Linked DNA regions of Oreochromis niloticus. Each later gene encodes a partner of the first gene's protein in a complex. Links are inferred from orthologs where the notes say so. Each region holds a gene or a part of one and is shown on either strand. Other genes may lie near its edges.

Region 1 (7,928 bases):
ACAATTGCAAAATGACAAAGTGATGTGTGTATTAAAAACATTCAATATTAAACTACAAATCTGTCCTCAACAGTTTTCCTCTGTCACTGATGTACAAACTCTACCTGTCAACTCCGTCCCAGCGGTACCCCGGTGGAATATTGAACCGGTTTGGAGGTGGAGCAGGGCCTTTATATTGAGGTTTATCTACAAAAAATCAAAACAAAACATACAAATAAATAAAAATACAAACAGTAGCAAAAACAAGACTGCTGTTATTTAAAAACTTCTTACAAGGATTGACCTGGTGAAATAAAATAAAACATATGTAATGTTAAACACCTTGTGTTTTTGTGCCACGGTCCTTTTTACGCCTGAGCATTGCAGCCATAGGATCGCCTTCTCTTTCCTGTTCTCTCAACATGCGGTCAAGATCCTCATCGTCACGGTGACGTGCCAGTGGCTTCTGGGCTTCGTGCAGCGCGTCCTCAAGTTTCTGCTGATGCATCTGGCTCTGTGCCAACCTATACATACATTTTAACATAAACCATTGAACCACATGATGCTTTTATAATCTTTTATGTGGATACAATCTCATAAACTGTGATATTTGAAATGATCATGCACATTTACCCTTTTCCCCACTGAGCGTATTTCTCGTCTCTTGCCGCTTTTTCTCCAGCTTTCTTCTTCTGTTCATCTCTCTCTGAATCCAGATCCCTCCTTTTGCCACTTTTGTCTCTGAAAATCGTCTGAGCATTACGTGATTCATCTGGTCATAGGGGATGAATGGGTAAGTATGTAGAAACGACATTATTTAATTTTAGAACTAAATAAAATACGACAATATAAATGATAAGCTGAAATGAGACGCAAAGCTGTATGAAACTCTTCCATCAATGGGTGTAAAAAAATCTTAAGAGAGAAAAGTTGAGGAAACCTTCAAGTGGCTGATTGTGTTTCTCTCTACGTCTGTTCTCCTCTTGCTCTTTCCTTAAAATGTCCACAGAAACCAGGCCTGCCTTTCCACCAGATAGCATCCTTTGGCCCTGGTTATAAAATAAAAAGACAATGAAAAAAAAGAAAGAAATCTGAGCGAAATCAGATTTTACATTACTCTTTGTTCCAACACAGTCTGCTTACCTGTGACTGGCCTGGCCTACGAGGAGGTGACAAATCTCCATCCGAGTCCCTTCCACTCGGTGGCCGCACCCTGGGTGGAGACTGGTCAGAGTCTGAGCCCCGTTTAGTTTTTGAGGGCCTTCTTGGAGGAGATTGGTCGGAGTCAGAGGCATTTCCCTTTAGGGGCCTTTTCCTCGGGGGAGACGGATCCGAGTCTGAATCATGTCTATTCTGACCCTTCTTAGCCACCGCTGACCGATGAGGATCCGGTGAGCGTTTTTTACTTAACAAGGATGAGCTGAGCTTGCTTTTGCTGGAGGCTGAATCTGACAAAGACACAGTTAATTTGTTAATTTTCATTTTGTAATGACTTTTGAACAAAAATTAAAGATTTATTATTAGATCAAGGTATGCCTTAAAAAGAAATTTCCATACAAAACTCATGTTAAATGGGCCTTTGCTTTTTACTTTTATTCATATGCCACACCAGATTCCAATTTACAATTTAATTGGATCACTCACCTTTACTTTGCAATTTTTCTGACTTTTCTGAACATTGTCTCGGTGGTGACAAGTCTGGGGAGTCATGACGTCTTCTCCTGGGAGGAGAGACATCCGGAGAGTCGTGACGTCTTCTCCTGGGAGGAGAGACATCTGGAGAGTCATGACGTCTTCTCCTGGGAAGAGAGACATCCGGAGAGTCGTGACGTCTTCTCCTGGGAGGAGAGACATCCGGAGAGTCCTTCCGACTTTTCCTTGGAGGAGAGATGTCTGGAGAGTCATGCCGACGTCTCCTTGGAGGAGAGATGTCTGGAGAGTCATGCCGATGTCTCCTTGGAGGAGAGACATCCGGAGAGTCCTTCCGACTTTTCCTTGGAGGAGAGATGTCTGGAGAGTCATGCCGACGTCTCCTTGGAGGCGAGACATCTGGAGAGTCATGCCGGGTCTTTTTGACAGGAGAATCCCGTCCTCTTCTCTTTGAAGACAACTCTGGTGAGTCATGTCGACCTCTGCTTAATGACCCAGCCTCTGTATTTTGATGTTCTTTTCCATTTCCTTCCTCTGTGTCGTCATTTTGATCCACTTTTAGGAGAGGAAGTAAAAGTATAGTAAACAACATTCTTAACTTAATATTGCACAAATCCCCCCTACTTCTGTGACTTCTTATTTACCTCCAATTACTTTCCATCTGTTGCTGGTCCTAAAAACTTCCATCTGTTTCACTTCCTCGGGTCGATCATCAATCACCTCAGCAATCTGAACAGTTAACAAAAGATTAAGTTTTAAAACAGAACTTGGTGACATAACAAAAATGATCCAAACTACAAGCATACCCATTTAATACAATAGATTAAATTTCAGCATTAAGTAGTGTCCCAAATCATCAGGCGCATGTTTATTGTTTAAAAGAAACCCTCCTATACAGGAGCGCATATAGCATATGTTTAATCCGTAATCATTTCAACTGAATGAATGGACAGGTTAGCCAGGTAGCTAGCTAACGTCATCTTACCACTGGAGCTTCTTCTTCATCCTCTTCCTCAATCTCCGTCTGCTGTGTGACCATCTGTTTCCAATCTATGTCATCGTCCACTATTTTAAGTCTTGAATCAAAGAAGTAAACACGAGTAAGTTATTACATTAGGCAGTGAGGAAAACAGCGCTGCACAACACCAGAGTCGTTAACTAGCTTAACGGCTCCACAGCTAAATCTGCAGCAAAAATCGACTAAAACGTCGCCAGCGGCTCACCCCTTCTCGGGAACCTTGCGACGCTTCTTTTTTGCCTTTCCTTTAGATTTCAGGGAATCATCGTCGGCTGATAAATAACGTTTTAGGTACTCAGCCTTAGAGAGTTCCTGTCCGTTCTTACTGCCTGTGGAAGCAGCCATCATTATGTTGTCGGAAACTACGGGTGGCGCTGAGGTTCAAGAATGCCAGTTCGGATAGCGGATGCAAGGGGTAGGCTGAGATTGAGGCAGGCAGGCAAGCAAGCATGCCTAAATTGTAAAGTGTAAACTATAGTTAGCAAATAAAATAATACAAATAAATTAATACAAATAAATCATGAAAGGGTTTTGAGGAATTTACCATTGTTAACTCCAATTTCACTCCAGGTGCAGTGCTGTGAAAGTATTTATGTGAAGGGGGAAATAAACCTGTTCAAACTTACCTGTCCCTGTGTAAAACAGTAATTGCCCTGTTGTTAAATCATTAATTAATTTACTGAAATTGGGTTAACTGTGATAAACCACATTTTTTGCTGAGGTGCAAAAGTGAGAATGAAATAAGAGAACACCAATAGTTTTAATTGATATCAGTAAGAGGAAGTTAAACTATCACCAAAAAATTGTCAGTCATGTGTTGGCATTGTTTCTACGTCATCAAAATAATATTGGTCCAGGTTTACTGACACTTACTGACACCGTCACATTATCAATGCTGGTCATCATGCCCTTTTGCTGCTAAAGTATTTATACCTACTTTTCTATACCTTCTTCTATATTCTTCTATATCCTTCTTCTATATTCTGTTTTTTTTCTTGTTATTGTTATTGTTATTGTTATTGTTATTGTTACCAGCATTATTATACAGATGCAACACCAACACAAGGACATCAGATACACTGTCACTCATCATGAAAAACAACATGCCAGAGTCATGCCATGGCCTCAACATAAAAGACAATACCTCTTACAAATACCTCTGTCATGAGAGTGATAAACACACAGTGCAGCATTATAGATTATAGATTAAGTTACTAAGCTGCTGATCTTTTGTCTTGATGCATGCTCAGTCATCCAGGTAATGGAATCCCAAAAAGTGGATTCTCTTCATTTGGATGTAACGTTTTCAGTGTTAGAAACATTTCATCACTCATCCAAGTGACTTCTTCAGTCTCAACTGACTGCAGGTTTCCCCAATCTTAAAAACCGTACCTTTGCAGAATTACTAAAACTAGCATCACTGGCAAACAGTGGGCTGTGATGTAGTTTCTTGATCATTAACCATTTATGACTGTCACTGCTCAGTGACAGAAATACTTATGAGCCCCTGAAACAAGCCCAGGAAGTGGTAACAGGAAGAGGGTGATAGATTGTCTGAAGCAGTTAGAAAAAGCCAATGCTATTGACCGGACCTCATACCACAGGCTATACCCAGGGACAGTCTATATGGTGTACCTTTAGGACCAATTGTCTGTATAATCAACTCGGTCACCTATAACACCTTAAAGCTTCTGGCTTCGATCCTCAACCCGCTGGTAGGCAACTCTAAACACCACATCCAGAACAGTTAGTTTTGGTCATTGTGCAAGGGTACTGTTTATTCATGTTACAGCAACTCATGAGTGAATGAACACGGTGCAATAAAAGTACTTTTAGAAGTACATTTTTCCAAACACTGGTGGTGTCAAATTTGTAAGGAAAATGTGGGTTGAGCACGAGAGTTGAGTATGTGGGTTGTGGCCAATGTTCCCTCTAATTTTTCATGTGTCTGAGCGAACACACAAACTCCCTGAGCGATCCCTTGGATCACTGTGAGCGACATTAGATGTGTGCACTGTGGTCACGCCAGCATTGAATCCATCCAAGTTACATGGTTTATTAAAATTAAAATAAAAAAAATAAAAATAAAATTACAGCATTTACATTTCTGTTAGACTACTTTTAATTAACTGCTTTAGACCAGTTACAATGAAAGTTTAAAAAAAAAAAATCTTGTTCATGACCTGTGTAGTATATTAACACTATTGGAAGTAAAAATAACTTGAACTCCAATTTTGAAAACACAACTTTCTTTCTTTCTTTCTTTTTAAAAAAAAAAAAAAAAAACTCTGACTTGTATTATGAGTCTGTGGTCCGTGAGAGAGTCCTGTCTGCAAAATACAGTATATAATGACCAATGTTGGGCAAATAATTATATAGTTACTTCTTCAAAAAAGCAACTGAGTTTTGCAAACAAGTTTTTTTGCAGCTGTTTACCTAAAAATGCTGCCAAGGCGGTTTTTAAAACAAACATTTCAAAATACTTATAGAACAATCAGGTGTTCTGTATCAAATCTGATGCCACACAAATTATTTGTGCCACTCCAAAAATTAATTTCTGTCCACTATCAGATAAAGGAGAAAAACAGCCTGATACCTGCAGGCCTGACAACAGGAGATGTATCACTCCTGTAACACCTGTAACATTCAGCAGTCGCCTCATTGTTCTGACACACACAACAAAACTATTGACTACACTACACACTAACTACACACTAACTACACAAGATTTGCGCTAAACGTCTCAAATCTCTCACATCTCAAAACACCGCCGTCACTCCTAAAACTTCCCCCCGTTTCTTAACAACTAAATGCCATGTTTTGATTGGTCGACATGGTACATTTTGCGACCAATGGGAAAGGGTGTGGGGTGTTTTGGTTTCGTCTTTGCTCACAGGCGGAGAGTGCTTTCGAGCGTTTTCCTTAGAAAACGCCGTTTTTACCGTTTCTTCCCGCAGTAAATATAAACAACGATAGTATTCAGGAAGAAAACCAAACATTGCATTTTTTTTTTTTTTTATCATAACTCTGGTTTTACGTGGCCTATCAACACAATTTAAAAACTGGTATAAAGTCCACACTTTTTCCGTCAATTGTTCCGTCTGTCCTGCTCACATCTCCAATGGTTGTACACGTTGTCATTAACGTGGCTTAACTCCACATCAGCCACGCTTTGCTAGCTAAAACACCGGTGTCGGCACATATTTACTTTAATTTCAATTCAGGTTAGAATTTTTTTTGTGTGCGCAACGCAGATTTTCTCTGCGCAGAGACCGTGCCAACAGTGCGCAATTGCGCACGTGCGCAGCTTAGAGGGAACATTGGTTGCGGCCATGAAAAATTTGCCAATAGCAAACAGTTTATTTTGCTATTGACACTTGTTGGGTGTCATTTATTGAATTCTGAAAAAACAAGCCACATCCACAATTTAATATTTTATTCTTTTAACAAATAGGGGCGTCACTAACATGTGGAAGAACAATACGCAGCCACAACAGCCTGGCATTTCAACCTCATGCTGGTCACCAGGTTGGCCACACACTGCAACTCAGCCAGTGTGTGACCAAGTGCTGTGTTGGTCACTGTGTTAAATAGGGTTGTGTCCTTGTTTTATTTTGTTACATTTTTGGAAGAACCAAACTGCAGGTTCAGAGAGTGTTTCATTTTGCAACAACTGTATGTCATTGATATCTATGATCAACTACTTATTCCAAGACAAAACCAAGTTCCCAAAAGATATACTAAAATATATTCTGTAGATACCATCCAAGATGTTGGGTGTAAATACCCCCTTTACGAAGCTCTACCAGAGTATTGCACTCAAGCTTGTATCTTTTTCCGACTTCTACAAGTTCATTTTTAGATTAAATTTAACCTCAAGGCCCAAACACAGTCATTTTATCCTGTTTTCCTACCATCAAAATATGTATAAATACATTACACAGCACATTTTGACACTCAGACTGTTGAATGCTTTTATTTTCAAACTTTTCAATCCAGGAAAGCCAAATGGAAAATATAAAGTATAGATTTTATATGAACAACAGAGTCTGCGTCTAACTAATCAAAAGGTTTTTAAGCCATGGAGCAGTTCAGCAAACATGTAAAGCAGCAAAAATACACTTCAGGTAGAAAAGTGTTTTCAATAATTAATTACTGATGGAAGACTCACTCTAGTTTACTTGAATTAATTTATTTTAATACAGCAAGAAAGGGGAAAAAATCACGAACCCGAGGAATACTTTAAACTTTATGCAAAACACTCATGGGGTGGTGTGAACATAAACCAAAAAGCCAACAAATGGTATCCACTACCTGAAAAATGGCGCCATCTTGTGGCCTCTATCTGTCACTGTAATTCCTTCAAAGCTTTGTGGAAAATGCTTCACCTGTAAAAGTTCCGTAGTCACCACTGACAGTTTTGTTTACCTGCAGGACGTTCAGCGGCGTCATTCGATGACGTCACAGGAGAGTCAGAACGCAAAAGTAGCAAGTAAACCTATGACGTTCATCTCTGCATCATTATATTTGGATGTAATTGGTGGAGAAATATCAGTTAACACTTCGCAGCGTTCCTCGCAGCATTCACTTGGCTTACTCTACATTTACATCGTGTTTTTAAAAAGCTTGTTAAAAAGTTTTCAAACAATTTTAAAGGACTTTGGACAGTCTGAAAGTTTTAAACCAGTCAGCTTAAAAGTTTGACAACTGTAGTTTCCTCCAGACTGTTTTCATGGATCAAATGGAGAGTGGAGACGGACAGCATAACGACCCCATTCGAAGTAAGAGCGTGATTTCTCTTTTCAGTTTTCAGATGGATTATCTGACAGTTTGTTATTACACATAACAATTTCCAAAGTTTTAAGGCCTCAGTCACACAAGCCCAGAGTCTGGTCTGTGACCCCTGAAAACCTCCGTGTGGTACAGTGTATTTCCTGGTTCACTGGGAATACACATATTTCTCTTTTAATCCACTTTGCAAAGAGTTGCTTTGCAAAGTGGATTATTTAGACTTTGCATTACATATTATATATAATTATAACAATCCTAATTAATTAGTTTAATAGTGCATTACTACAGTGAGGGCTGAGGAAAACATTGAAATAGTGACATTTATTAGCTGCTGCTCATCGACTAAAGCCTTTTTTTAAATTGAAGGAGCAATTACACTATAATAATTTTAATATATGTCTGTTTGTATGTTCCCTGTGTAGTTGCACAAATTGGAATTTGTGGACAGTTTTGGCATCATATGAATGATAACAATAAATTATTTCTTTAT
Region 2 (8,018 bases), on another chromosome or scaffold:
CAGCAGCACTGCAGCCTGAAATGAAAATGTTTCAAATTTTTTAGTAGCCCAAAGGTGAAACATACACACAACACACACACACAAAATTATAATTCCATCTTCTGGTGGTTATCCAGCTCTGGGTCACGGGGTCAGAAGTCTGAGCAGAACACTCTCACCCCAGCCACCTCTTCCAGCTCTTACAGAGGGACTGGAGGTGTTCCCAAGCCAGCTGAGAAATGTAATCTCTCCAGCATGTCCTGGATCTGCCCCGGGGCCTGCTGATGGTAGAGGGTGCCCAAAACACCTCAACTTAGAGCGGTCCAGGAGGCAATGACATTCAGATGCCTGAACCACCTGGTGGAAGTGGTTCTATTCTGACCTCTCGTGAATGACTGAACTCCTCACCCCATCTCTAAGACTGAGCCGAGCCCGTCATTTCTTTGGTGTCATTCTTTCAGTCACTATCCACAAAATGTAACCACACGTGAGGGTGCCAACACACTGGTAAACTCATGGCCTTGCTTTCATATTCAGCTTCTCACAGCATCCACCATGCTGATTCATCTGTCACCCTCCCGCTCCACTCTCCCTTGTTTGTGAACTAGATACTAGATCAGGGGTGGGCAACTCCAGGGCTTAAGGGCCGGTGTCCTGCAGGTCTTAGATGTGTTCTTGATCTAGTCACAGCTGATTTAAATGGCTAAATTACCTCTTCTACATGTCTTGAAGTTTTCCAGAGGCCTGGTAATGAACTAATCATTTGATTCAGGTGTGTTGACCCAGCGTGATATCTAAAACCTGCAGGCACCGGCCCTTGAGGCCTGGAGTTGCCCACCCCTGCACTAGATACTTGAGGTAGCAACGTGTTCCCACACTGAATTGGCTTTTCCACCCTTTTCCAGCCGAGAAAATGTACGCAGCTCATTGAGAAAATATTTCAATTTAGAGTTCTTCATCCTCTTACCCTTTTCTGTTGCTCCAAAAGATCTTGTTCATCCATGACATGGGAATCACCCTGAGATAGCCACAAACAATAACAGCCAGTCAGACAAAACATGCTTTTTAAACTGTTTTCTGTGTAGTGCAGTTATTGCCGTGTTGTTATGAAGTTATAAAAAACATTTATCCTGTCAAATTGTGGTTTACGTTATGATCACATCTCAGAATGTTACTTTGTTTAATAAATGCAAAACAAATTGGCAAAAATGAGTCAAACAGTAAACTTTAGGTCCAGCTATCCTCACCTGCTTGGCTCTCTCCTCCTGCTGTAACAACATGGCTGCTCTATGCTGAGCCATCTTCAGCTGATCATCCTGTGTGAGGCCAGGTGGCAAAACAGAGTGGTCCATGCCCATGTGTATACCAGGTGGAGGGGGCCCACTAGGCATCATGCTCATAGCTGGGATCATACCCATACCAGGAGGCATGGGCGGCATGGGCATTGGGGGTATGGCAGGGATACCTGGCATCTAGAGAGAAGGAAATACAGGAGACTGTGATGTTAATGGGAAGCACGAAGGACTGAAGTGAAGTCACACTGAGACTGTGTGACTTTCTAGGTGAGATATTAAGGCGTTCAGTGAATTCTCGTTTTTGTTTTGGTGAAGTGTTTCTTAACACCATTCAACATAGTTCTACAAACACATGACAAAACATACTCAACTGTAACAAATTTGCAAGACTGAAAAGTTATGATTACATAAAAGCGACTTTCGGCTGCTCCCTTAAGGAGTTAAAACAGCAGGTAGCTCTGTGATATGTGATTCAGAAGAAGCCAATCCTGACAGAACCCCAAAGAGAATTGTGCCTCCTCCTACAACAGGATCTTTTGCTTTTTAAGCAAATGTGTTACACTCTGTAACAGCTTTAGTAACAGTTGCAGAGGAACCGAATGGCTTGTAAAAATGGGCCATACACCCCATATTATGGAAGATCCCCCACTGCAAGGAACCAGATTGAATGCCTTCTCCAAGTCTACAAAACACATGTAGACCTGATGGGCAAACTCACACACACAGCCTCAAATATGCTTGAGAGCTGGTCTAGTGCTCAAAAACTGCACAATCTAAACACGTAAATCAAAATATAGAAAACATTACATCGACACATTGTAATGTTTTTCACCATTGTATGCTGCAGTATTAAACAGACATCAGTGTTTTCCCTCTAATTTACCTGGGAGCCCATTTGTTTATCATCAGTAGGTTTGCTGAGAAGAATCCCAGTCTGTGGAGGGACACATGTAAAAAACACAAACCAGAACAGTTTCTTTGATTTCAATGAAAAGGAGAAGAGGTTCGAGAAATAGATGAATAGTTTGGATATACTATTAACTTCTGCCCAGACTTTATTCATTACTACTCTAGCGTAGCGTGAAAGGTCATCAATAGTTACAAAAAGCACCATCATTCCAATCAGCTGCACGTTGACTGAATAAAACCGAATCCAAATGCATTTACCTGCATCATGTAGCCCTTCAGTCTGTCAATCAACTCCTCTCTGGGACCTAAAGAGGAGAAAATGAATCGGAAACGGCTGTTAAACAACGCTGATATCACTTTAGGCGTGTAAAATGTGCACCAATAATGTGCCAGAAAAACTCAGAACTCATTTTGAAGTTAACGAGTTACAGAAAAGTAGGCTAATGTTGACCCCTCCATATCAAGTTAGCAAAGCAGCTAAACCGCTGAACTAGTTACAGAGGTAATACGAAGGAAAAAACCTAGCCAAACGCTCTTAGTTTTACCCAACATGAATCACAAGAGTTAAAATGTCACTTACATGATTAATTAGTGCATGAAATTTACTTAACAGAGTGTAAACATAACTCAGGCCTAGCTTAAACTCCTTGCAACGGAAGCGTTGCGTTTTAATGCTACTAGCTTAAGTTAGCAACGGACTAGCTGCCGATAGCCTGTGATAAGGCGTAGTGCTCTACGCGGGTGTTTTTCTTACCCATGTTGGGTACTCCAAGCTCTGCCAGCTTGCCCTGAAGCTCCGGGATGCTCCATGTATTCAGAGCTGCAATAGCACTCCCCAAATCGGACGGGAGAGAGTCGGTGCCCGGCGGTCCGTCGGATGCCATGTTGAGGTTAGCTCAATGGAACAACGGCGGCAGCGGAGGACACGCGAGAGCTGGGGAAACACGCAATGCATGACGGGACGTGAAGTCTGAAGAGAGATTTTTTTTTAATTAAATGCACTGCTACTGCAACATTCAGTCAGATCAAGTACTTTCAAAATATACATTCCCAATAGGACAAAACATAAAATGGGACAAAAATCATATTCTTCAGCTGCGTCCAATGCATTGTGCGGAATAAAAGGCATTCCTTTCAGACACATCACACAACCGAGTCACCCTGTGTTTGAACTTTGGCCATCAGGTAAAAAGATACAGACTAATACAATCCCACACAAACAGACGCTAATCTGTGCCCCCAATCACCCCCCTCACCCCCCATACACTGTGATAGTTTACACTGTTTACAACTTCAGTACGATCTTATTAATTTATTTTCACTATTTGTTCTTTTCTGATGGGCATAAACGCGCTACTAACTGGAGTCGCTAGATGTCACCGTTGGCTGCTTAGACTTGAAATCCTTTAAATGTTGCCGTTAGAAGAATAAAGAACTTCCCTATTTTTACATTTTATAGCTTACAAGTCTACTGACCTTTTAAAGTAGGTATAAAATAGAAATACTGTGCGTAACTAAACTTCAAATGGAGTCTAGCACTTGGTAAATGTGTCCTTTTTAGTTAGGCTCAGTATTTGTAAAACCATAGAAAGGGATTTTTATCTTTTAAAGGGCAGCATAATGCATATAAACGCGCACTACCATAATGAACCACAGCATCAAGTAAAATCTGCTGCAAACAAAGAGCACTACATGAGAGAACAGCGCACGAATCCCTCCCTTTCAGTGTAGTTTTATGACTTGCGGGCACTGCGCAGTCGCATTGGAACGAGGGCACACATAGCGGCAGCAGGGCGTTTCTTCTGTATAGAGAAGAGGGGAGGGTACAAGGAAGGGTACATACTAAACATGGAACGGAAAGCATGTTGTGAAGTTGCATGTTGAATTTCCGTAACAAACTTTTTTTTTTCAGAGGAAACGCATTGCAAGGTAAATATGAGATTCATCCTTCAACATCACTTTACATCAGCAGTTTAGTGTCGGGGCGCAGGGAAGTGCACTGTGCAAAACGCGTTTGTCCTCCTGGTCTGAACTTTTTTTTTTTTTTAAGAGCAGAACTGGAAGTTTGTGAGTTGTTGTTTAGTTTAGTTTGTAAAGCCGGAACAAACTACAGTCAAACACGAGTCTGGCCCTGGTTTCACGAGAGTAATAACCAAGAAATATTACTAGCCCACATTAGTGTGCTGTTGATTCCGCAAAATCTGCTTTTCCTGTGTTAATCTTTATTAATTTTTTTTTTTTCACCGTGACTGATGGAAGTGAAGGGATAGGAAATTCGTCAAACAGCTGTTCGTGTTGCTCATTGTTTATTTCTTTCATTTCATTTTTTTCCCCGGGACCACACCTATCTATCTGTCATAGGAGCTTTTGCTTATCTGCGTGAGCCATGCGCCCAACTTAAAGTTTTATTAAGAGCAAAATCTGCTGGAGCTGAGGCGCATGCTCTAACGAGTATTCTCTAATTGTAGCCCAGTGTTTCTAAAGGCTGCTTGTTTTCCCTGCAGACTTTGATGAGAAAAATGACTCTCACACAGAAGTCAGCATGTTCCCTGCAGCGGTCACTGTGTGTGTGTGTGTGTGTGTGTGTGTGTGATCTCTCTGCTGGTCTATTTTCTCCAAACACTTTGGATATTTTATCACACAGTAAACTGTGTTGGAACATGAACCCCTGCATGCAGAAATACACCACAGGCGCTCAGAAGGCTTACTCATGCCACAAACTCTTGACTCCACCCTCCCAAAGGCAACACTTATTTACTATCAGCATGCATTTAATCAGCCCAAGTCGTGAGGAGGAAACTGGACTCAGACAGTCATCGGCAGAAAAGCATTAGTCACACATAGTTGATGATTGCAGTGCTTTCACAGCCTTTGCATGGCTGCACAACCCCTATGTTAAAGGAAACATCCTGCTGCTGTGCCAAAACAAATAAATAAAAGAGCTGGGTTATAGGTTGGATGAAAGTGCACATTTTCAGTTTTCTTGTGATTATACTAAGTGTTGCATTGCTAGACGATACGGTAGCACATTCTCTTGTGCTACCACCCACATTGAGGGGGAGGCTAAGCGCGTGTGTGTGTTGGGATGTGGCGTGAGGGTATGCAGGCTGCATGTATTTCTCATGTGAGGGGAAGTAAAATATTCATTAGAGTCAGATTGAACTGTTGTTGGGTAAAATGTGCCCGATGGCAGCCAGCAGAGGTAAAAACCACACAACTGAGGTTTTAACAGAACACGTTATGATCCTTTGTTGTTGGTTTAAGTAATGGGGCCATGGGTGTCTTGTCATAAAACTAACTTAGAGTGACATGCATATTGAAAGCGTATGAGTAGTTGTTTGTGGTTTGCAAGTATTTCATGGTAATGGGTGTGTTTTGTGAGGGGCAGTGTTTTTTTTCCTCACAGAGCAGTCACCTGACACACTTCTGCCTACAGTCAGTAGCTCCTCCCGTTCTAGGAAAAGTTAAGTTATAGGAGTGCTCAATCATTTCATTCAGGTGACAATGCGACTACGTTAACAGTGGGGAAAAAAAGATGTAGAAATCAGGTGTAACTCCTCCTTTCCGCCACATTTGGCACATCCCTCGTAGGAGGTTGACTATAAAGCTTGTACAGAAGGGTCTGTCTGGACAGGTTCCTGGGATCAAACTAGAAGGTGCAGTTTAGAGGAGAGGTAAGAAACAAACACATGGGCCTGACATGAATCTGAAAACTTTCATTTTTAACCAGACTTTTGTTAGGGTTAGGGTTAGACTCAGCAGTGAGGGGAAGAACAGGGACAATTTTATTAATGGTAATAAAGGGATAAACATGGTCAGCAGGATGGATCCATGCTTTCATATTTTTGCCGTATTCTGACAGTAACGTTCTAATGTTGTTGCTAAAATTGAGTCTCATTAGAGCAGAAAATTTCCGATCATCTATTGTCCAAATCTGCAAATCCTGTGCGAACTGTAGCCTCAGTTTCTTGTCCTTAGCTGATGGGAGTGTCACACTGATGTAGCCCGTCTGCTTGTTGTGTTTGTGTTGTGTGTTTAGAGACGCTCTTCTGTTCACTTTGGTTATAAAGAGCAGTAATTTGAGTTACTGTTGGCTTCCGATCACCTCGAAGCAGTCTGACATTTCCACTTTGACTTCTGACATCAAGAAGATTTTCACCAGAGAACTGCCCCTCGCCAAAATTTACTCCGTTTTGGCTCACGCTGTGTAAACTGTAGAGATGGCTGTGTGGGGAAATCCCAGCAGATTAGCAGTTTCTGAAATACTCAGACCAGCCTGTTTGACAACAACCGTGCCACATTCAAAGTCACTTAAATCACATTTCTTCCTCATTTTGATGCTCAGTTTGATTTCCAGCAGGTCGTGTTGACCATGACTAAATACCTGAATACACTAAGTTGGTGCCATGTGATTGGCTAATTAGATATTTGCATTAACACACAGTTTAACAGGTGTAACTCTAGAGGCCACTTCACTAAAGGTATTTACATGTCCACATTTAATTTGTACATACATTTATATAATAAAGAAAAATAGTGTTGGCACTTGTAGTGATGCTAATGCTAATATGTGGTACAGATGCTAAATAGCTCTTTATAAAGAATGCAGGAGGAAGCAACAGTAGTTGTTACAGCGGTGGCAAAAGTGCCTTTGTTATTGTGAGTAATAATGCTTGTGGTAAGAAATATAATGGCAGCAATAGTTGTGGGTGCAGCCATTAATCAGCGCTTCCAGCTTTGCTAGCTGTAGCTTTAGGGGTCTATTAGCAGAAATAATGTGTAGTACTCATGTACATGATCCTAATGTAGTTTCATCATGCTAGCATGTGCAAAGACAAGTCTTTGTGTTGTGTAATTTAACAGATGAGAAACCTGCTGTCGCAGCTGCATGCTCAGTTTTTGGCTCTCTTAGCAGCAACATTCTTCACACAGTCAAATGGGCCATCTTTGTGGGTGTGGTTCACTGTTAGCAGGAGGAGGAAACTCTTACATGGCCCCACTGCTACACAAGCCAGTGAAAGCCACATTCTTTTCTGTTTCTGCTGTGACGGACACCTGTGGACTGAAAACAGGAAGTGCGTATCTTTATGTGCATATCTGAGGTGAGGGAGTGAAAAAAAAAGCTGACAGAGTTGAAAGAAGATAAAAATAAACGCCTTCCACTCTGTGTTTGATGGAAAAGACGCAGACTCAAAGCAAAACAGTGAGACTAACTCAGTCCAAAGCTCCAGTTCTGTCTGTGGTGGCACTAATGATAGTTTATGCTTCCTCATCCCAGCCTCTGCTTAATTAAAGCGTCACACAGAGAGCTCGTGCTTGTTCTTTGCCTCATGCAACCTTTATCGTAATTCACACAAAACCACACACGCATCCTCCTTTGTTAATGTGCTTTTCTGATTAAACATTGACTTTAAATGTAGTTCTCACTTACACTGTGCACACATTCAGTGCACCACAGTAAAAGTTGGCACAGATGTGCCATGTGTGTTAGGCTTTTCTAAGAATGCATGCGTGGTTGACTTCAAAGAAACAAGGAGACCTCGTTTCACATGGAGGGTGTTCACGGCCTGTGCTTTTGTTCTCTGATGTATGTGTAGATATTGGTATGTACAGACTTGTATCTCACTGGATAACTTTTTTACTCTTGTGCTCAGTTCCTCACTTTCAGCTTCTTTTTTGTGCAGGGTTTGGCCACTGCTGTGATAAGGACAGGCTGTGATCCTGCACGGTGGGAACTTGCCAAAAAAAGAACAGACGAGGACTAGTGTTATCTGGAATTGGATCTTTTGCACTGAGGAAGACGTCTCTGCTGTGACAAACTTGGGATTTATTTTA
Region 3 (6,403 bases), on another chromosome or scaffold:
TTTGCTTAAGCTCACTCTCACACCTTCACACATGTAGCTTTATCTACCTAAAAAAATCCCTGTGTTTGGCATGGCTCAGACTGCTTCACTGTGTACGACCTGAATGGTGACAACGCCATCTCTAGAGAGGAGATGCTTCATATGCTGAAGGGCAGGCTCATCAGACAACCCAATGAGGAGGACCCTGACGAAGGAATCAAAGACCTGGTGGAGATCATACTGAAGAAGATGGTGAGCTGTTTGCTGCACAGATATAACTGTTTACACATGATTTAAAAACAAAAAACAAACCCAAAACACTATTTAAAAAATTCTTAGGTCTGTAAATAGTTTACCAGCTCTGCCAACGGTGCTTCCTCCCACAGGACTATGACCATGATGGCAAATTGTCTTTTGAAGATTTTGAAAAGGCTGTGAAAGATGAAAACCTATTGCTGGAAGCTTTTGGAACCTGCCTTCCTGACTTCAGGGTAATCTGTAATGAGAAGCTTCTAAGCTCTTTAAATTTCCCCATCAAAAATTCTCAATCTTACAGTCTGCTTTTCTTATTTTTTCAGAGAATCGAGATGTTTGAGGGACGCGTATTTCAGGAACAAATGGAACAATAAACAAATCACATAACTCCATACCCAGCCTAAACATCTTTAATATTAACCTCAATGGCAGATGGTCCTGTGATGCAAAATTTTTTAATAAAAAATAAATAAATAAAAAGTCCTGCTCTATCAAATCCGACGGCGTGGTTTGACCTTCTTCTCCACTGGTTTGATGTCTGGACTCGATGTCACCTAGGAGAGACGATGAAACTGGTTTAACTGATTTAGATCATAGTGAAAATATTATTTTGTCCTTAACTACAACCAAAACAATATAATCACATGTACCTGCTTCATTGTGTTCCTGATCAGGCTGACAGTTGTGTTCAGTGACTCATCCTCCATGTCCAGTTTGGATGGTTCTGGTAGTTTTGGTCCAATCAAAGGCTCATTCTGCCCAGAAACAGTACTGGAGGGCTCCTCAGCCTCTTCCATTTTGCGTTTCCGTTTCTCCAAGTGTGTGGTCCGAGGAAGAAATCTGACTGCCGCAGCCTGATGTGCTGCCTGTCTGCTCAATAAGGTCTGTTTGCTCCTTGAACTCCCTTCTCGCTGCTCGAATGTGCCAGCACAGGTATTGTGTAAAGTCCCCATTTTATCCTCTGTCGGTAAATGTTGACTTTTAGGCCTATGGTAATGATGTTTTTGGGGAGGTAATGGCAGTGGAGGAAAGCCTAAATAGTGGCTGACGTTTGAAGTCTCCCTTGTATTGTCATTTCCAGAGGTCTGTTTGTGTGTGAGGATGTTGTCATCTGACATGGTAGTTGTTTCTGATGAAGAAGGCTCCTCTTGTGTGTCCTCTTTCTGTTCCCTTTCTCTCACTTTGCAATAATAAAATGAGACAGAAAAAAAAGTTTAGAAATCCCCATCATTCAAAAAGATCCGAGTCAAATTAAAATAAAAGTGCAAAAGGGAAATGGTGGAAATTGTTTGCTTGGACTAATGAGGAACTAAGATGTTTCTCATTGGAGTGGTCGTTTTTGTGAGGCAAAATATAACCTATAGATATAAAATTATACCTCTCTTCTGAGCAGCCCGGATGACATAGCTCCTCCGGTCCTGCAGCTTGAGCCTGGTGTCTTCCACAGTCTCGTATTCGGGGACGTAGCACACATGCAGCACACCACCATAGAAACTTTTCTCATCCATGCGTCGCTTTGCTGCTCTGAAACAAAACCAAATTATTCAGAAGGTCCTTCAGACTTTGCAAGTTAGGCATAATGAACAGTCTAAGTTACATCTTGTACCTGGCACTTGTGAGTTTTTGGAACTTTACGAGGTAGACCTCTGTGAACTCCTCGGCAGGATACTCGTCCAGGGGCCTGTACTCCTCCACAGCTCCATAAAGGGCACACAGCTGAATCAACTCAGTCATAACCCCAATCGCTGGGACTCCTTGGACCATCAGGTAACGACTCTCTAAATTTATGGTGTAAACCTGCAAATAATGCAACACTTGACTGCGGTACACTGATGGAAAAATGCTCATGTGAAAACTGCGAATAGTGGTTATATTTATCATCTAGATGTGGTCAAGGCTCTCACTGTGGTTCACTGGAGTCCATAAAATCCGGGAGCAGATGTTTTTTAACAACACTGTAAGTGGCGTTCCCACGTAGCAGGGGGTGTCTCACACCTTAAGATACGCTCTTTTGGTCAAATATTTCTAAACAGAAGCGTCTTCTTACCTTAACTGCTTTGGCTTTTCTTCCTTCCCTATATTTTGGTCGAGAAATGCACACTCTCCGCTGTTCGTGATGTTTGTAAACCTCCGGGACTCTCCAACAGCCAGAGCTGTTGTTGACGGGAGCCGCCATGTTTGTGGAAATGAACTTTTCACTTGATGCATTTCAAAATAAAGGTTCATTTTCATGTTGAATAGGATTCATTCAAAGCATGGCGTCGTTGGATGTCTTATTCTGAAATGCGTTCAACCGAATATCGGCTACTCTGGTCTGGCCTGGCCCACACAGAGCACATCGATCGACTATGAGTTTGTCACACACTTGATGTTAGCGGTGCAGCTTGCTTGACGCGTTGAACGCGAAATAGAAAACTATGTGAAAATCATGTTTAGCAATCAGGGCATTCAACCCGTAACGGTCACTTTTAACAACGCAAAAAACTGCTTTTTACACCTTCCCTTGAAGCTAATATCACAGCTTTCCCTGAACGAGGTAAGATAGCCTAGCTAACCACCTAGCACTATCGTTTAGGTAAAATTAGTAGAAGCTTTGTTGACTTAAACCATTTTTAGCTAAAATGTTGGCCCGTTCTGTGTGTTGTTCTATTCTTTTATTTTTTAACAAAATTAATGCTGCTGTAAATTAATTTTCGAGACCCTTTGACAGTTATTCACATTACAAAATAAAATGTGACTTCAGCCTCGCGTCAGGCTGCTCTTTAGACCAAATGAATTTGAAAGATCAGTTTTTCATGACTCCATTCACTCCACTTCGGCCCGGCTGGAAACATGCTCTGAATATAGATAGAAGAGGAGCTGAGTCAAACACAATACTTCAGCATATGGAGAGAGAGGGTAGTTAGCAATTGGTATTTCAGTATTTGTTTCCTTCTCGGTGGAGCTGTTTTCGTAGCAGTTCCTTTACGGTTTCACTTGGTGGAGGCAAAGGACTGTGTTAGAAATGAATCCGGGGTCTAAGGGTATTTTTTAAATGACTTTTCTAGCTTGTGTCCTGTTCGCTGTTATGAATGAACAGTGGTTTTCTGATGAGAGCTTTCTGTTTATATTTGCACTTTTTTGGCTGACAGGAATTCCTGTTTCGTGGCTTTCTCTCCTTGAGTTTGACCTTTAATTACAAAGGATTCAGAACTGGGTTAACCCTGTCATTATTAGTCTAAACTGTGTAAAATGGATTGAGTGAGGAGGATTTGTTTTCTCAAGCATGGTTGCAAGCAAGGATGATGGTCATGGTATAGTCTGGGTAAACAAAAGGTGCTTCAGCAAACATGCAGTCATGTGAAAAACAAAGTACACCCCTTGATTCAGTAAAGTTGGTACAACCACCTTTAGCAGCACTAAATTGAAGTAACCATTTTATTTATGTCTTTATTAGTGTCTCGCAGTGTTGTGGAGAAACTTTGTCCCACTCTACTTCACAGTGTTTGCATGAATTTTTTTATGCACAGCTCTCTTTAGACCCTGCATTTCAATCAGGCTGAGGTCTGGACTTTGACTGGGCCATTGCAACACACTGATTCCTTTCCTTTACAGCCACTCTGTTGTAGATTTGCTGCTCTAATTTGGGGTCATTGCCAAGTTGCATGGGATGCAACTTGGCAATGACTTTAGAATACTTTTGTATACAGTGGCATTCACAGTCAACCCATTTACGGTCTTTTTCAGAACCAGCCTCTGGAGTTGTCCTGTGGTCATGGGCCTCCAGTGTTCCTCACCTGGACTCAAAACAGAGCCAGCTCTAGCCTGGACAGCCACAAAGTGGAGCTGTGTCGGCAGCTAGGAGAGAAGCAGGGCCTGACAGATGGAGAGCAGGTAGAGTCCCTCCGTGAGGAATCTGTTCTTCGCTGTATTTACAGAAGAAGCTAATTTTGGACTTACTAGTTGTTTGGTTTACTGGCTTGTTTTCCCTCAGGGCTTCTTAAGGCCATGTCATCAGGTCTCATCATTGGATCGGGTGTTTGTGGAGCCTGTATCAGCTGATGACTGGGAAATCCTGGTGGGTAATTTAGTTACATACAGTGTGTGAAACTTGTCTTCATACAATTTGCACTATTTTACACACTCTAATAACTACAAGGTGACTTCTCCTTTTTAAAGCACTCTTAAGAAGTATTAATATATCACTTTTGTGTGACTGACATCGCCAGGAGCTCCACAGTTCTGCACTGGAGCTGCAACTACTGGATCAGATCAGAGTAGTTTTCCAAGATGCCGTGTTTCCTGTGTGGGTGGACAACCACACGGTAATCTTTATCCGAATAGGTCAGTTTTGATACAATTATTCTGTTATATGTTGTTTATCAAATAACATGTTACACAGAAATATTGCAGTTATAATGGTTTGCCTGCTCAACTTCATTTTTAAATGTTTGACTTATATAATACAGTTTAATTTTTTTTAAATTCTGCACAGCTTCACTTTCTCCACGTGTGCCCTACGGTCGCCTGGAGCAGTTCACAGAACTTGTTGTGTCCCCGAAGATCCGCGCAGAAACTGGCACCCACACACATTCTCAACTAAAAGCCAACCCAAACTCAGAAAGTTTTCACAGACAGCCAAACATGGATTTCTCCTCCCCTTCAGGACCATCATCAGAAAGTACCTCCTCCACCTCTAACAGCCACCAGTGGGGTGGCATAGCAGACCTGAAAAGCCTTTTTCATCACATGATAAAGGGCGCTTATGACCCAGTTAAGGAACAACCGCCTTTACCTGAAATCCCCGCTCTCCTTACGGACTCTCTGTACAGAGTGTGCGGTTCACCTCCCCACTCTCTCAGCACTATAAGCCACGTTGCAACTAATGCTATTCACATCTTTCCTTGGAGCCACAGTTTCAATGCCAGGCTGAGTGAAGGTCACTCCTCAATTACATATGGCCTTCTCTCCAAAGTCCCATCCCCCAAAGAAATGAGGGACAGAACCAAGCAGGCAATGGAGAAAAAGAAGAAGCCAAGAGTTACTAAGGAGACTGCTACACCTGAAGGAGAGGAGGTGAAGGAAGAGGAGGCCATGGTGGTTAGGGCAGTGTGCCATTGTACCGAGCTGTTTGGATGCAAGGAAAGAAGCAAGGGAGAGATTCACAGTGGAAGAGTATGGGTGAGTATGGTGTCTGAAGAGGAGAATATATAGTTTATAAACAGTATTTTAGCTATACCGCAGTGCCCTAGTTCTTTCTGTTTTGGTTAAAATTTTTGTATCTTTCATTTTTTAGATTCCAGAGCCTCTGGCCAGCAGGCTGAATATCCCTGCCCATTCAACAGTAAGAATTAAGTCAGTGAAATCAGCTATCAAAGTAGCTTCTACTATTTGCCTACAACCCCTAAATCCACTGGTGAGTGCTGGAATGTACATCTGCGTTACAGTGTCGGATGTAAATGAAGTACAAGGACATATAATTTGATCAGAATTGCAGAAAATCTGTTCAGCTTCTTTCCTTTCTGTCCATCTGATTTTTTTTGACATTTTTCTCTTCAGCCTGAGGAGGATGATGAGGAGATCCAGACAGCTTTCCTTGGTTGGCTGCACACACAGAGTCACGAACCTTTAGCCTGTCTGACAGCACGGTCTGGCACCATCCTCCTACATGGAACTGATGGTGATTCATTCCTGCACTTCCGTTACAAGCCAAAGAAGTGTATTTATAAATCATGTACAGACAGATTTGCATATGGCTATGTAAGGTTAAAAAAAGGGGTAATAATAAATATCTTAAATTAGCTTTTTTTTAAAAAATAATGTCCCTTCACTTTTTATTCTTTTCCATAGCAAAGCTAGAGTTTGCTTTAACTGTGCTGAAACCAGAACCACAGACTGAAGCTTCAGATCAGCTGTTTCTTCTAGCACCCACAGTTATCCAGAAGAAAGACATACAGGTATCACCATGCAAATGGAGAATTATATATCTGTGTCTTTAAACAGTTTATATGTAAACCGATTGCTTCATGCAGTTTTTATTAAAAAATTCAACACGTTTTTAAGAGAAAAAAAAAGTCTTTGAAGTTGTTCACAGTTATGTCTTTTTCTCATCTTCAGGTAGACAGAGAGCCAGTAACCACCCCAGCTGTGAAGCCTGGAGCTGAAACACCCCACCCAGAACTTCCCTCTC

The links. The genes of interacting proteins can lie anywhere in the genome.
Region 2: bud13 (region 1) and sf3b2 share a complex: the UniProt entries of both Homo sapiens proteins name them as parts of the minor spliceosome. The link is inferred for Oreochromis niloticus from reciprocal best matches to the Homo sapiens genes BUD13 and SF3B2.
Region 3: bud13 (region 1) and rbm48 share a complex: the UniProt entries of both Homo sapiens proteins name them as parts of the minor spliceosome. The link is inferred for Oreochromis niloticus from reciprocal best matches to the Homo sapiens genes BUD13 and RBM48.

What each region holds. Positions count from the first base shown.
Region 1 is NC_031975.2:13,772,443-13,780,370, reverse strand, and holds the start of bud13 (BUD13 homolog), read right to left. Parts: upstream 3,036-7,928; 5' UTR 2,996-3,035; coding exon 2,853-2,995; intron 2,706-2,852; coding exon 2,615-2,705; intron 2,359-2,614; coding exon 2,274-2,358; intron 2,185-2,273; coding exon 1,624-2,184; intron 1,428-1,623; coding exon 1,123-1,427; intron 1,029-1,122; coding exon 920-1,028; intron 752-919; coding exon 613-751; intron 504-612; coding exon 322-503; intron 187-321; coding exon 105-186; intron 1-104. Other genes in the region: ribosomal L1 domain-containing protein CG13096, read left to right, coding at 7,380-7,428. UniProt on the Homo sapiens protein: Involved in pre-mRNA splicing as component of the activated spliceosome. As a component of the minor spliceosome, involved in the splicing of U12-type introns in pre-mRNAs.
Region 2 is NC_031967.2:24,041,208-24,049,225, forward strand, and holds the start of sf3b2 (splicing factor 3B subunit 2), read right to left. Parts: upstream 3,123-8,018; 5' UTR 3,068-3,122; coding exon 2,938-3,067; intron 2,489-2,937; coding exon 2,442-2,488; intron 2,209-2,441; coding exon 2,158-2,208; intron 1,452-2,157; coding exon 1,227-1,451; intron 998-1,226; coding exon 947-997; intron 16-946; coding exon 1-15. UniProt on the Homo sapiens protein: Component of the 17S U2 SnRNP complex of the spliceosome, a large ribonucleoprotein complex that removes introns from transcribed pre-mRNAs.
Region 3 is NC_031985.2:22,586,880-22,593,282, forward strand, and holds rbm48 (RNA-binding protein 48), read right to left. Parts: upstream 2,437-6,403; 5' UTR 2,411-2,436; coding exon 2,282-2,410; intron 2,192-2,281; coding exon of another isoform or gene 2,120-2,191; exon of another isoform or gene 2,065-2,119; intron 2,032-2,064; coding exon 1,841-2,031; intron 1,759-1,840; coding exon 1,613-1,758; intron 1,415-1,612; coding exon 885-1,414; intron 789-884; coding exon 726-788; 3' UTR 623-725; downstream 1-622. Other genes in the region: clxn (calaxin), read left to right, coding at 80-231, 366-470, 558-608; peroxisomal ATPase PEX1, read left to right, coding at 2,663-2,770, 3,961-4,107, 4,208-4,291, 4,443-4,557, 4,709-5,394, 5,510-5,629, 5,773-5,893, 6,064-6,170 and 1 more. UniProt on the Homo sapiens protein: As a component of the minor spliceosome, involved in the splicing of U12-type introns in pre-mRNAs.